Linked DNA regions of Arabidopsis thaliana. The protein of the gene in region 2 interacts with the protein of the main gene of each other region in a pairwise test. Each region holds a gene or a part of one and is shown on either strand. Other genes may lie near its edges.

Region 1 (7,833 bases), on a different chromosome or scaffold from region 2:
TAGAGTTGCATCATCAGATAGTTATTTTTATATTGTCAACTACTATTTTATGCTTGTAAAAATACACAGAGATGGTTCTTGGTTACAACAAGGAATATTTCATATGTGAAATCTGAAAGGCAACAATATTAGACTAATATAGCAAATAACATGATATCAACGTATGGGAGTGTAAATGTCTGAATGTTCCATTTGAGAAATGTCCTCATCATGTGACACAAGTTTATTAGGCTACTCAAGTTAGCTTAGAATTAAGAAGCTAGAACATGTGAAAATAAATAGAAAACAAAAAAGAGGAAACAAAAACTAATAACAGAACGAGAAGTTGAAACCTTTTGGATCCAATTAAATGAATATCGATGTAATTCCAAAATGTTAGTTCATGTGTTAATGTTTGAAGATCTAGTACATATGAATAACATTTGAAATCATTTTTGTTTCATGCAATTACATAACTACAAGGGTTTTCATCACATATTGCTAATTAATTTTGAGTTTAGAATCCAAAACATTTAACCGAAAATCTAATAATTTTAAAAAGGGTGATTTACTCATCTATAAGACTAACTAAAAAAATACGTACTAAATTATTTACAAGAGACAATTGATAACTAGAGTATGAATTAGTTGTTTAGACTTACCCATGTGTCAAAGTCATATTGACAAATGGCTCGGTTATAACTGATTTATATACCAATAATTGCATACAAGTTTGTTTCTTAAATAAATCAAGCAATATTCATAAGATTGCATGTGTATTTTCTGCGAAACTATTAGTACGAATTCGTGGATATGCAAATTTAATGACTATGCAAAGTAGGTGAGAATGTAATAGCGATTAGAATAGCTAGGGTTTAGCCTACCAACCATGGTAATCCAGTTTCCTAATTATCGTTAGTTTTTGAATCCCATTCATGCTTTTATCTATTTTTCAACCAATCATGTCTTTTTACCAACAAAGCATTTCCAGTCTAAGCAATATGGTAGGTAACTCGGTACGATAAACAGAAAGATAATTTATTATTCATCTATAAACGAATAATTGGTTCTCACATTACTCATACAGAGGAAAAAAAGGGATATACAAACCCTCTCTAAATTATATAGTTTTGAATTCACTGTTGTTTATCAACAACATATATAACTCTCTTACCCAATTCTTATTATTGTTCATACTTCATAGACATTAACATGTACGTATAGTGATTGCTACAATGAATGGTATGTACAGATATTGAGACAGACAGTAGAAAGGGATGAATCGAGTATTTATTAAAGAGAAAGGAAAGGGCCAATCTATGCCTAGTTTCAATTATGAAACTCAACCCATGAACTGATTTAAATACTTTACCTATCGGATAAGACTTTTAAGGGTCTAAAATATTTTCCAACTATTTTTCATTTGCAACAAACCTTAAAGTAATATGCTAAAGAGATCTTTTCCAAAGGTGGAATGATTTTTTTGATCTAAAACGGCCCATCAACCAATCTTCGGTCCATTATCCTGACATGATTATTTGGGCTACATTTTTTTAAGTCTTTTGCAGTAAATTGTTGAACCAACAAAAATAAAGAGTTGGAGTTGGACCTAGTAGCTGATCTGCTGATGTGTTGGTGATGGTCGTCGTGGGTTCCTGTCTTATAACCCTAGAAACCAAGCCACTTCATCATTCTCAAATTCAATGCTTTACTAAATAATATTATTATCGAAATCAAAATACTAATTTAGACGTATATAAATCTAGAAGCAAACCTTAGGTGAGGTCGAAACAGAGATGACCTTTTGCGTGCACTTTAATTAATATCTTATTACATAAAATGTCACACTTTGAGTAAACTTTACATTATTCTCTCATCCATAATAAATAAATAAAGCATACTGGGTTTTAGGTCAGGCTGACGTCAGCAGTTTCTTTGTGTTTCATTTTTTTTTTTTTTGTAATCTAACGCTCCAGATTTGTTGTCTTCTCCACGAGCCCTTTGTTGTTGTTGGTAATGGAGATTTTCGCTCTAAGTCATTGTGGCTTCTTCTTCTTTATTTAGAAACCAATTCATCAACTCCTTCGTTATTTCTAAATCTCTTTGCCACTACCTCTTGTTGCTGCAATTGAATTGGCTCAAATCTTCTTCACTTGGTCGACGTAAAGACGACTTTGACTTGGTTTTTAACTTCACTTCTCCGTCGAAAACTATCCCTTCTCTTCCGATCGAATCAATCGGCTCTCTCTCCACACAAACCAAGGTAAGGGTTAACCCTCTCCGGTGATTATGCTCTGATAAATTTACTTGCTCGGCCATTAGTGTTCAGAAACTTGGTGATTTATGCATGTTTTTTTTTGTTCAAAGACCGTAGATTTCGGAATTAGGATTGTAAAAATTGAACCTTTACATCAGTGTTTTTACAAAGTTATAAGCTTTACTTGGAAATCAGTGGTTTTTTGGGTCAACCAAAGTTGAAAGATTTGAAGAAGAATGAAACTAGTTCGATTTATATATCATTTTATTGCTTCTTAAGAAAGTGTCGTCCTTGGTTCTTTATGAATTTCCAATTGCAGCCAAATATGTCATGTTATTCACCTAATTTTTGTATTTTCCAATTGCAGCCAAATATCTTCTCCTGTTACTGGAGACAAACCTGCATACATTTCTGTCATCTCTGTTAAGGTATTACATTTAGTTTACTTGTTTACTTAATGTAGCTGCTTATTACATTTTTTTCTTCAAGTCTATATTCTTCTTTCAATAGCATTAAAAGTTATGTGTATCCTCAGATTAGATCTTGCTGACTCGCAAGTTTTTGGATTATTTAGCGGTTTAATAAGAATTATATCTTCCTTGAAATTGTGCCTAGGTAGTGGAATCGTTGTTAGCCTACTGTAGCTCAGATAGGTGATGGATCATTTCCGTTCAATTGAATAATTTGACTATTTAAGGTTTGCACTTAGTTTTGTCTACAGAATCAATTCATCCTTTTTCACAGTCAAGATATTATTCTCATTATCACTATTGTAGACTTCTTGGACTTCCATACATTCATCAGTCAACTTTTCGATGGTGCGTTTTTATCACAGTGGCACAATTATTTAAGAGGCTCCATCTCCACTGCACCACTGAGAAGTTTCGTGTGGACATGTCTAAGCTTAGAATTGGTTTGGTTGAAAACTGAGGAGATGGAAGTGACTCGTGGTTTCTCTTTTTTGGACAAGTTTCTTCGAAAGGTCTGTTGATTTTCTTTGTCTCTTGTGAACTTTAATTTCGTTTTTTTTTCCTTAGGATGCAATGATATCTTATCTTTAGATGTCAATATCAAATGTCCTTAACTATTCATTCATTTACGGATTTTGATTACTTTATAACAGTTGGTATCTTCTTCTATATATCGTCATCTTATATGTTTTTATTTGTATATAGTCTTTCACAGAAGGAGCGTATTGAGTTTCTCGACAATATATTTGACATCTTCTTCTGCCTTTTCTGGTAAGTGTTTAACTTTTCTGATACCAATTAGTTTTCTTAATCATTGCATATTTTTAATGCTTGTGCCTTTATTAAAGAGGAAAGTTGCGGTGGATTAAAGCACCATCGTGCGGAGAATACGATAAGGCTCTTGCTTCATTTGAAGTTATTGACAGTTGAATCGAGCCGCTCAATTGGTCAATTATGGAGTCAATAAAGGTTTGCATGAACGCACTGTGCGGAGCGGCCTCTACGTCGGGCGAGTGGAAAAAAGGCTGGCCTATGCGATCCGGTGATTTAGCTTCTCTCTGCGATAAGTGTGGGTAAGGGCCTTCACTCTTGTGTCTAATTTGAATACTTTTGCGACCAGTTCGATATTCGCAACACTTCTGCGATAGATTAGTGCTGTGGGTTTGCTTACAATTAGAACAAGAGTGGGTACGTGAAGGGAATCTATATTTCATGATTACTTATTAGTAAACTCTGTGAATGTTGGTTTTTGATAGGTGTGCATACGAGCAATCCATATTCTGTGAAGTGTTCCATGCCAAGGAATCTGGTTGGAGAGAGTGTAATTCATGTGACAAGGTGACGAAAATCCATGGCTTACTACACATGTTTTTGCACTCAACGTATTTCAATTGTTTTCCTTAATACGTATTTACGTTTTTTTCAGCGTCTTCACTGTGGATGCATTGCTTCTAGATTTATGATGGAGCTTCTAGAGAATGGTGGTGTTACCTGTATAAGTTGCGCCAAGAAATCCGGACTAATTTCTGTAAGACAATTTCCTCTCCATGAGTTAACTTCTTGCAAGGGATGCTTCCTTGGTCTTGGTTTCTCTGTCACTATACTCATGTAATCTCTCTTACAGATGAATGTGAGCCATGAATCTAACGGTAAGGACTTCCCCTCATTTGCTTCAGCAGAGCATGTAGGCAGTGTTCTTGAGAGGACAAATCTCAAGCACTTGCTTCACTTTCAAAGAATCGACCCCACTCATTCTTCTCTTCAAATGAAACAAGAAGAATCGCTGCTTCCTTCCAGCCTAGATGCTCTTAGACACAAAACTGAAAGGAAAGAATTGTCTGCACAGCCAAACTTGAGCATTTCACTTGGACCTACGCTTATGACAAGCCCATTTCATGATGCTGCTGTTGATGACAGAAGTAAGACTAATTCGATTTTCCAACTGGCCCCTCGGTCCAGGCAGCTGCTTCCAAAACCTGCAAATTCAGCTCCCATTGCTGCTGGCATGGAGCCTAGTGGGAGCCTGGTGTCACAGATTCATGTCGCTCGGCCTCCTCCAGAAGGTCGCGGGAAGACCCAATTGCTTCCCCGTTACTGGCCTAGGATTACTGACCAAGAGCTGCTGCAATTATCTGGACAGTATCCTCATCTGTATGTTATAATATCGTGTTTCTGCTTTTATTCTACCATTATGCACTATTTTTCTGTGCTAAGGAGTCCTTGACTGTTTATTTTCCTAGCTCAAATTCCAAAATTATACCACTCTTTGAAAAAGTTCTGAGTGCGAGCGATGCGGGTCGTATTGGTCGACTGGTTCTTCCGAAAGCATGTGCAGAGGTAACTTGTTTCTCTGTACGCTTATTTGATATTCCCAAACTATTGCTATCTAAATGCCAGGTATCAGCTATAACCGTCTATGCTTCTATGTAGGCATATTTCCCCCCTATATCTCTACCCGAGGGTCTCCCGTTAAAGATACAAGACATAAAAGGGAAAGAATGGGTGTTCCAGTTCAGGTTTTGGCCTAATAATAACAGCAGGATGTACGTTTTGGAGGGTGTGACTCCTTGCATACAGTCCATGCAGTTGCAAGCTGGTGACACTGGTACTTTTCAAATCCTTTTGTTTCGTTAACTACATTCATAACATATTGATAAACCCACCCTGGTATGGATAAATGAAACATTGGCACTAAAGCGTTCCAATCATGAGGACAGTGAAATACATTCCACGAAGAGATGACCGTACTTTTCTATTAGGTCTGATGTCTTGGATTTTCCATGTTCTCTGCAGTAACATTCAGCCGTACAGAACCTGAAGGAAAACTCGTAATGGGATACCGTAAAGCGACGAACTCTACAGCGACACAGGTAAATGCATAATAAGCTGAGAGTTGCCCCCTTAGGCATAAGTAACTGCCACTGTGAAGTGTATTGAATTAAAGAATCCTTTTCTGGTGCTCTCGTACTGATTCTTTCAGTGAAATATTTTTCCGTGTTTCTTCAGATGTTCAAGGGAAGCAGTGAACCCAATCTGAACATGTTTTCCAACAGCTTGAATCCGGGATGTGGTGACATCAATTGGTCTAAACTAGAGAAGTCTGAGGACATGGCAAAGGATAACTTATTTCTTCAGTCGTCCTTAACTTCTGCTAGGAAACGGGTTCGGAACATTGGGACTAAGAGCAAGCGTCTGCTCATTGATAGCGTAGATGTTCTGGAACTGAAAATAACTTGGGAGGAGGCACAGGAGCTGTTGCGGCCTCCCCAATCCACCAAACCCAGCATCTTTACGCTGGAAAATCAAGATTTTGAAGAATATGACGTGAGTTACTGTTAACTGTTTAGTTATCAAAAACAGCTGGGAACTTTTCACTGTATTTTCTGAAATCATGTATTTGCTGCTACCCAGGAACCACCAGTTTTCGGGAAGAGGACCCTTTTTGTCTCACGTCAAACAGGGTGAGGCCTCATGTACTATGTAATGATAGGATCAGAAGAATTAAGCACCCTTGGAATGATCGAAAGATTTGAAGTAATGAACATCTGATTATTTGGTTCTGATATGTGATCCATGAATTCTCAGGGAACAAGAGCAATGGGTGCAGTGTGATGCTTGTGGGAAATGGCGACAGCTGCCGGTGGATATTCTTCTTCCACCAAAGTGGTCGTGCTCTGATAATCTCTTGGATCCTGGCAGGTAAACGAGGTTGCATGTTCATGTGTTTAACCTAGGCTAGTTACCACAGAACATTGCGCATTTTTTTCCGAAATAACTTAGACTACACATATGGGATAATTATAGATTTTTGACTCACTGAGACTGGCCATCTGAATAATTTGAGTTGCTGTTTATATCGTCAGGTCTTCATGTTCCGCACCTGATGAACTCTCTCCAAGAGAACAGGATACACTTGTCCGGCAGAGCAAAGGTAAAATCCGCAGCTATTATTGGTCTGTATAATTAGAAACTTCCTTCTTTACATAACGAAACTTTCGTCTCAACAGAGTTCAAAAGGAGGAGACTGGCATCATCAAACGAAAAGCTAAACCAGTCGCAGGATGCATCTGCTCTGAATAGTTTAGGAAATGCAGGCATCACCACAACCGGTGAACAGGGGGAAATCACGGTTGCAGCCACGACCAAGCATCCAAGACACCGGGCAGGGTGTTCGTGCATCGTCTGCAGCCAACCACCGAGCGGAAAAGGCAAACACAAGCCGTCATGCACTTGCACTGTGTGCGAGGCAGTGAAGAGACGATTCAGGACGCTCATGCTGCGGAAGCGGAACAAAGGAGAGGCAGGACAGGCAAGCCAGCAGGCGCAGTCACAGTCAGAGTGCAGGGACGAGACAGAAGTGGAGAGCATTCCAGCGGTTGAACTAGCCGCAGGGGAAAACATCGACTTGAACTCAGACCCGGGGGCTTCCCGAGTAAGCATGATGAGGCTTCTCCAAGCTGCAGCGTTTCCTCTGGAAGCATATCTGAAACAAAAGGCTATTTCCAATACAGCAGGAGAACAGCAAAGCAGTGATATGGTCAGCACAGAACACGGTTCGTCCTCAGCCGCACAAGAAACTGAGAAAGACACAACAAATGGAGCTCATGATCCTGTGAACTAAACAGCTTTGGAATTCTCCATGAGTATTTATTCTTCAGTGGTATGTGTTTCTTATTTACACAAAAAATGTCTTCGGTTTCGTCTCAAATTGGTTGAGTGGTTACGACCATTCTACCAATTGTCGATCGAAGAAATGAGGAATTTGTAGTTTGCTTTTCTTTTTGTTTCTGGTGTTTTGGTTTGGTGTGTGGTGAGTTGAGGCTTGAGAGAGAGAGACAAATAGATTTGATGAGGTTTTTGAAAATACATAGGACACTAACTTAATAGTTATATCTAATATGGAAATGGATGAAGCTTCTAAGAAGAGAATCGGTTCTGGAGGTGGAGCTTCAAATTTGTACGCCTATCTATCGCAATCTTAAGTTTCAAAATTCGAACCTGTACATAATTTTTATTATTTTCAAGTTTGTTTATGAAATTTATGATTTACTTAAATTAGAGAAATTGGTTACGCGAGATCCTATTATTTTGATTTGGTGATAAACTTATGGTATGAAGACACACAAT
Region 2 (7,173 bases):
AGGGAAGAACACAGATCTCGGAGATTCTCTGCTTCTTCAACAAGCAATTGAAGAAAACGATGAGCAGATTAGGGTTTTCAGATTCTTCTGCAATAGGATTCGATAAATGCGAGAGTCTGTTTCTACGATTTCATATCTGGAGATTCAGAGCTTCCTCGTGCATGTTTAGAGACTTCTGCTCTTTTATTTTTTTTCGCTTAACTCAGATTTTTTAATATTTATAAATCAATGTATTTATTTGATTTTTATACGGAGAGGATTAATGTTGAGATACAGATATAGTGCGGCGCGGTGTACATGTGCTAGCAAAATTACTAGTTTACTAAGATTTGACTTCTTTTGATTGGCTTAGTGGAAATTCTCCCAAGCCACCATAGATGTTTTGACACGTTGATAGAATGTACTGTCAATGATTTTCAAGAGTGGGAAATTCACAGCTTTGTACTTTGGAGTTTGGAGGAACAACTGGAATGTTTGAGGTCGAATTTGGGAATTGAAATTTTTAACCCCTGGATGAGTTTATATTTGATTGATCTCTCTATTATGGGGTGTTGAATGTTATTTACAAAAAAAAAATAGTCATTGTTTTATGGACGAATAAATTATCTACTTGTCGTTTTTTTACCGAATAACGCATAAATTAGATTCAATACGGATAATTCCTAAAATAAAATAAAAACGGTTAGTTCTTCTAACATACGTTACTATAACAAACGTACTTGACGAGTTGGCATAAAAATGTATTTCTACTGTTTTAAAAGTAACGTACGATTCGTCTTGCATACTGTGACGAAATATGTAAATTCTTTTGTCGCTTAGTGATGATGTGAATTATTTTGATTCATAAAGTAGAAACTCGATACATACCTATTAACTAAACATGTATTATGTTGTGATTCATTTTTGCCTAACAAATAAAATTTATTAGCAAGAACCATTAAAATTTCATACTAATTTTGGATACTAAAATGTTAGATTGATATATAAGAAAAGTATATACTCAAAAAGATTTAACAATTTACCAATATTTAGTATTGGAATCAGTGTAGTGTTTGTTAGTACATGCTTTTCTACATTTAGAAACAGTTAAATTATAATTGCAAAAGGAAGCAATATTGAGGTATTAATAAGGTTTTACACTTTTACTTCAGCTAGCTTTGAATTTTAGAAGTTTTATGGACTATTAAATTATCTACTTGTCGATCTTTCATAAAAACTGTTGGCTCTTGCGAGAGATATGTGACCTTCCAATTGATCGCGAAGTGATAAGATGTATTCGATTTTTTCAGCTTATGCCATTTTTACAACTTTTCGGAAAAATGTTTCAAAATATCCATTATGAATTTGACATCCAAGTTATAAATTAGATAAAATTTACTTGAGATAACATATGGACATATAGATTTTACTTATTTATTAGAGTTCATTAACGAAAAATTATTGAGTTAAATATAGACATCTTTAAACTCGTTAATTTTAAAAAGAAATAATAAACAATATATATATATATATAAATATTTTATTTTCAAATTTTATTTATTTAAAGGGTTTTAATTTTTATTAACAGTTATAATATTTATGATTGTTTCCGGTTACTTTGATGCTATTTTCTCGTAATTCCCTTTTGTACATATATATTTAGAACCAAAAATTCAATCATTGAGAAGCATACTCTCTGTCAAGTGTAATTGATTCCTCCTCTTCATTTTTTAATTCTTCATTTCTTAAGTTTTATTAATTAATTGACTCACCTCTTCATCTTGTTTATTTCCAAGTAATTTTCCTAATGATGTCAATAAACAAAAATAAAAAGATTAAAATCACGCAATATCAGTAAAAAAGGAGAGAGGGTTAAATCGGTGGTGGACTTTGCAGCCCTAAACCATTGTTTCGCCTCGGAAAAGCCCATTTACACAATTGGGAAATAAATAAAAACAGAGTAAAGAAAGGAACGTCTTTTACTCTTTACGGTATCGCTCGCTTCTCTTCTTTCTCCTCAACACGAAGACCCCTCTTGCCTCTTTATTAGAGAGACCCCTTCCTTCTTCTTCTTCACCTTCACCTTCTTCCTCGATTCAGATCGTCTCCTCCTCTGTTTTATACTCACCCTATTCCTTCGAATCTCTCTCCATTTTTATCCCCAGATTCTCCCTTCTTCAACCTCGTCGACTCTTCTTCATCACTCTATTTCTTCCGATTGAGACTTCTTTCACTCTGATTTTCTTCGACCCTTTACGGATATATTCGGTCTTGAGTCTCCATCGGATTTGGATTTGAATGTAGGTATCTCGCACGAGAGTTGTTGTTTAACGTAAATCTGGGTTCTTTTTTTTGGTGGGTCGTTGTTTTTCTTCTACATGCAGTTTTGGGGATAGTACGTGCGATTCATCGATCAATCCTCGTTTAGATAGACATCAAGGATTTAAAGGAGTCGTTAAGAGAGCAATGGAAGGAGACATGGTGGCTAAAGTGAAGAGAGAAACGGTGGTGGCATGCATGACTTGTCCTCTCTGTGACAAACTCCTCCGTGACGCCACTACCATTTCAGAGTGTCTTCACACGTGTTAGTTCCTCTTTCCCCTTCTCGATTTACGTTTCGATTCGATTTTACCCGGTTTCTAATTTTCGCAATTTCTCGTCTTTATCGTCTTCTTTGATTGGTTCTCTGTTGTGTTTTTTTTTTCTTCCTCTTGCTGATTTGGATTGAATATCTGCATGATTCTTGTTGTTAGTCTCGTATGCCACTTATGATCTCCTCTATGTCTCAGTCGATTTGATGAAACTCGAGTCAATGAATAGTTTTGTTTGGTTTTCTCAACTAAAGTAATAGTTGTTGTTGAGCAGAATTTGTAATCTTTGTTTACATTTAGACTGCAAGAATCCTCCTTTATTCGTCTCTTTAGGTAAAATTTGTGAGTGTCTTCTTCTTCGTCAAAGATGGTTTGGTCAAACTCATGACGTCCAAATTTGGTTTTGGCTAATCATGTTGTTAGTTAGATTCAGTTGCTTTGTTATATCCAACTTGTAAGTTTTGTGTTAGGAAGTTCGAGTAACAAGTGCTTTAATCTACTCTCATCGGTTTAATGTAAGTTAATATTTGGATTAAGTAGCATTTATCAGCCTCTTTCTTCTACATGATATTATACAATTAAGACAGTTTAGATCATTTTCTGTTTGGAATGGCTTAATTTATTTCTTTTAACATACAATCCAGATTAGTAGTGAGTTTTCTGCATGTTGAAGTATTTGCTGATCTCTGTAATTTATTCAAATTTAGTTTATATTCCTTTTGGAGTCTAAATCAATCTACCATTCCAAGCTTTACACAACCAATTCTTTGTTACCGTTTACGGAGAAATATACCTTGTTACTCTGTAATTATTTTACTCATTCCATCTGATTTTAAAAAGGTAAATGTTAACAGTTCGGTTCCGTTGTACAACTGACCAACTGCTTATCTCAATTTAATAAAATTTTCAGAACGCCCTGCAGAATCTCTTTTTGAGTTACTGCAGTGCCAAAATTAGGTGTTAAATGCTTCACGGTTTTGTTTCTGGGGATGAATGCAGTATCCCCATCAAATTTGTGATTCCATCTCTTTTGTTTAGGTTGGTAGCTATGGATTTTCTTGATTTTAAAACCAAACAGTATGATGCTCATTAACCACTTGTCTACAAGCTTCTGCCATGACAACTAATATAACTTGATGCAGTAGAGACCATACCAATTATCGGCCTTGCTATAATGGATTTGGTGGAAGGAGTCCGATAATCTAACTTGCATCTAATAAATTCAAACTTGGCAGCGAGCCAACTTGCATTGAACCTCAAACATTATGCTATTCATTCTTTACTTAAACTTTTGATCTGAGAAATTGTTTGTTTTTATGTAAGTTGGTCGCCTTTATTACAAAAGATTTTGTTCTTACTTGATAGTTACTATCTATTGAAATGAAACAAGTTCTTATATCACTTTTATGCAGTTTGTAGGAAATGCATTTATGAGAAAATCACAGAGGATGAGATAGAGAGCTGTCCAGTATGCGATATTGACCTCGGGGGTACCCCACTGGAGAAACTAAGGTAAGTTCTTCTTCTTCTTTATTCCTTACACAATTTTCTCCTCGGTCTTGGTTTAGCAGTGATTCCTTGTATAGACTGTTAGAAGCCTTTTGGCTCTTACTGTTGATGAAACGAAGTTTTCTTACATAATGCTGAAAAGTTGTACATGATTATGCTGAGGTGTGCCACATATGGAAGGTTCTTCCGTAATTTTTGTGGCATAGTGTGAAGTTAATCAAGAAAAGTCATTTCGATTCAGAAGCAGTTATGACCTGAATATGTTGGCTAGTTTAATACTTTCGCTGACACCAACAATTTTTTGTTAGAACCTGAAACAAATCTCTTTAGTACTACACTCTCTCTTACTAGTTGGTCACCAGTAAGAGCTTTGTTGGTGGCGAACTTATTCATTTTCTAAAGAACCACTCTTATGTATTTATTTTAGGCCTGACCACATTTTGCAAGACTTGAGAGCCAAATTATTTCCTCTAAAACGTAAAAAGGAGAGAGCGCCTGAAGTTGTGTCCTCCATCTCATTACCTGCAAAGAGGAAGGAGAGGTCTATCTCGTCTTTGGTGGTAAGCACACCCAGGGTTTCAGCACAAGCTGGTACAACAGGAAAAAGAACAAAAGCTGCTACGAGAAAAGATGTAAGAGGTAGTGGTTCATTCACTAAGAGAACAGTGAAGAAGGAAGAAGAATTTGGAGATGATCATGTAGAGAGCGCAAGCTCGCCTGAAACACTTAAAAAGTTTACTCAGAATAAAAGACAGGTAAAGAAGGTGATCATTGCAGTTCTCTCTTTACCTTTATGTTTTACTTTTTCTCTTTACCAAGTCCAAACACAACGTTATGACTGATTATGGTCTTTATATAGTTCCCCATACATTTATTTATTTATTAATTCTTTTTTTGCAGTCTTCATATGCAAATCCTAACCAGTCCCTCTCTAATCGAAGAAACAAGGATGTTGATGAACCATGGGATTCCAAATTACATCTTTGGAAACCTCTAAATTTTCTTGTGGATGTGGCAAACGGAACAAAGGACCCAAAATCTGAGCTTGGAAACGCATCCCACAATGATGTTCAGGGGAGTAAAACCAAAACAAAGGATCATAAAAGAAAGTGTAAACTCGAGGAAGAGATCAGCAATAACGGTGATCCTACAACATCAGAAACTGCTACACTTAAACGAACGCGTCGGACTCGTCGCAAAAGGTCATCTACTTTTGGTGATTCTAGAATTCCACTGTTACCAGGTGCAGCAAGCCTAAAACAGGAGAGGAGAAACGGTCATGTTTGGTTCTCACTTGTAGCGTCAAGTAATCAGTGAGATTCCTGTTCTGTATCTGAGACTCTGAGTACTTCTGATATTCAATATTTTCTGTGTCTTTTCATTTCTATCTCTTAGTGACACGGCTTTACTGGTTTCAGGGAAGGAGAAGCATCATTGCCTCAGATTCCAGCAAACTACTTGAGAATAAGGTAAGTTGTTCTTTTTGCTTTGCTCTGTTTCTTGTCACTAAGTTTTTATATGTCAACTGTGAAGTCTGTGATCAAATATTACTTATTATTGCATTGATGGCTTTGAATTCGATTTCGCAGTTGTTTTACCCGAGTTTCCATGTCATGTTTGTTTTCTGTGGTATACGTTTCTTGATAAAGCCTTCTTCTTTTTTGGCCCATCACACCTAATCCTTGACTGGGAGGTGTCTATTTTCTTGTTTGGGAGAATTATATTGTGCCAGAGTTGATCCCCTGTCTCATTATATGGTAGGGATGGAAATATTCCAGTTTCTTTTATCCAAAAGTACCTCATGAGGAAGCTTGATCTCAAGAGTGAAGATGAGGTAAGCAATCTTATCTTATGCAGTGGCTACTTTTCTGTTTTATATGAGGTATCCACTCGGTCTAATATGGAATCACATAGACCGTAGTTCTATACATTGGTTCAAGTCTTGTGCTTATCAATATGACTGTAAGGTCCCCATAAATGTTTAAACTAAAGTTAACTCTCCCTTTTATTTCCGACTTGTGTACCGGGTGATATCTTATGATCTGGGACTTTTTCGACCCACCGGTGTTGAACCTTAACTACTCTATGTTTTTTTTTTGTAAACAGGTAGAGATAACATGTATGGGAGAACCAGTGATCCCAACGTTGCAGCTTCACAGCTTAGTAGACCTATGGTTGGAAACAACTTCTAAGCATCAAAGAGTCGCTGCGTCAATAGGTTCATCTGCAAAGGAATTTGTAATGGTGCTAGTTTATTCTCGGAAGCTCCCTGAATGCAACAACTAAAGAGCTATTCATTGAATCTTTTCTAGACCGAGAAGAAAGAAAAGTGCAGGAGCAGTGGAATGTCTTGTGTAGAAAGAAACTTAGCAATTTATATTTATTTAATTGTAATCTTAAAATTTGAAACATTGGTGTGAGACAGACACTTTGTTTGTTTATCCAAGAAGATTCAAAAATGGCTTTTTAAAGGAGATTGTGTCCTTTTTGGATATTTGAATGTATGATTAGGATAATGTTGTCATTTCTATAAATATTTGTTTCCTTGTTTGGACTAAATGGAGAAGTACACGGAATCCTTGTGAATCGAATGACTTAGCCATTATTGAGAAGTCAAAAGAAAAATAACCAAAAAAAAACTTGTGAAGTGTACCTTTAATACAAGAATTAAAGAGAGATGTATAAAAGTTTTCTAACAATTTTGTTCACCAAAAAAAAAAGTTTTCTAACAATTTTTAATACAAAATGCAAAATTAAAGATGAATTTTCTTATTTCTTTTTTTAAAACATAATTTTGAAGAAATTTGGTTGTCTTTTTGCATTTGTTTCTAGATATTTCTAAACTGTTGGGAAATAAAAAAATTTGCACACAAAACATAGTTAAATTCACGTGGTATTTATAGAGATTTACTTCAACCAAATTTGGATTTTGGGTCATTGTTTTATGGACGGATAAACTATCCATTAGTCAAATTTCCACAAAAATAATATGTGAATTAGATTCGACAAGGCTAATTCCCCCACAACATACGATACTAGAACAAACGTACTTGACTACTTGACGTAACAATGTTTCTCTTACTGTCTTGAAAAT

Evidence for each region. The genes of interacting proteins can lie anywhere in the genome.
Region 1: the proteins of DRIP2 (region 2) and HSL1 interact in binary tests that used the Arabidopsis thaliana proteins (3 or more experiments, as listed by UniProt).

Annotation. Positions count from the first base shown.
Region 1 is NC_003075.7:15,477,571-15,485,403, forward strand, and holds HSL1 (HSI2-like 1), read left to right. Parts: upstream 1-1,808; 5' UTR 1,809-2,242; intron 2,243-2,603; 5' UTR 2,604-2,664; intron 2,665-2,924; exon of another isoform or gene 2,925-3,071; 5' UTR 3,072-3,218; intron 3,219-3,411; 5' UTR 3,412-3,477; intron 3,478-3,554; 5' UTR 3,555-3,660; coding exon 3,661-3,779; intron 3,780-3,962; coding exon 3,963-4,044; intron 4,045-4,132; coding exon 4,133-4,234; intron 4,235-4,330; coding exon 4,331-4,857; intron 4,858-4,946; coding exon 4,947-5,043; intron 5,044-5,136; coding exon 5,137-5,311; intron 5,312-5,499; coding exon 5,500-5,576; intron 5,577-5,712; coding exon 5,713-6,030; intron 6,031-6,117; coding exon 6,118-6,167; intron 6,168-6,291; coding exon 6,292-6,405; intron 6,406-6,569; coding exon 6,570-6,637; intron 6,638-6,713; coding exon 6,714-7,327; 3' UTR 7,328-7,784; downstream 7,785-7,833. UniProt on the Arabidopsis thaliana protein: Transcriptional repressor of gene expression involved in embryonic pathways, such as LEC1, ABI3, and FUS3. Repressor of the sugar-inducible genes involved in the seed maturation program in seedlings.
Region 2 is NC_003071.7:13,023,999-13,031,171, forward strand, and holds DRIP2 (DREB2A-interacting protein 2), read left to right. Parts: upstream 1-1,912; 5' UTR 1,913-2,445; coding exon 2,446-2,563; intron 2,564-3,982; coding exon 3,983-4,082; intron 4,083-4,506; coding exon 4,507-4,834; intron 4,835-4,979; coding exon 4,980-5,392; intron 5,393-5,497; coding exon 5,498-5,548; coding exon of another isoform or gene 5,549-5,552; exon of another isoform or gene 5,553-5,840; coding exon 5,841-5,913; intron 5,914-6,185; coding exon 6,186-6,365; 3' UTR 6,366-6,663; downstream 6,664-7,173. UniProt on the Arabidopsis thaliana protein: E3 ubiquitin-protein ligase that acts as a negative regulator of the response to water stress. Mediates ubiquitination and subsequent proteasomal degradation of the drought-induced transcriptional activator DREB2A. Functionally redundant with DRIP1.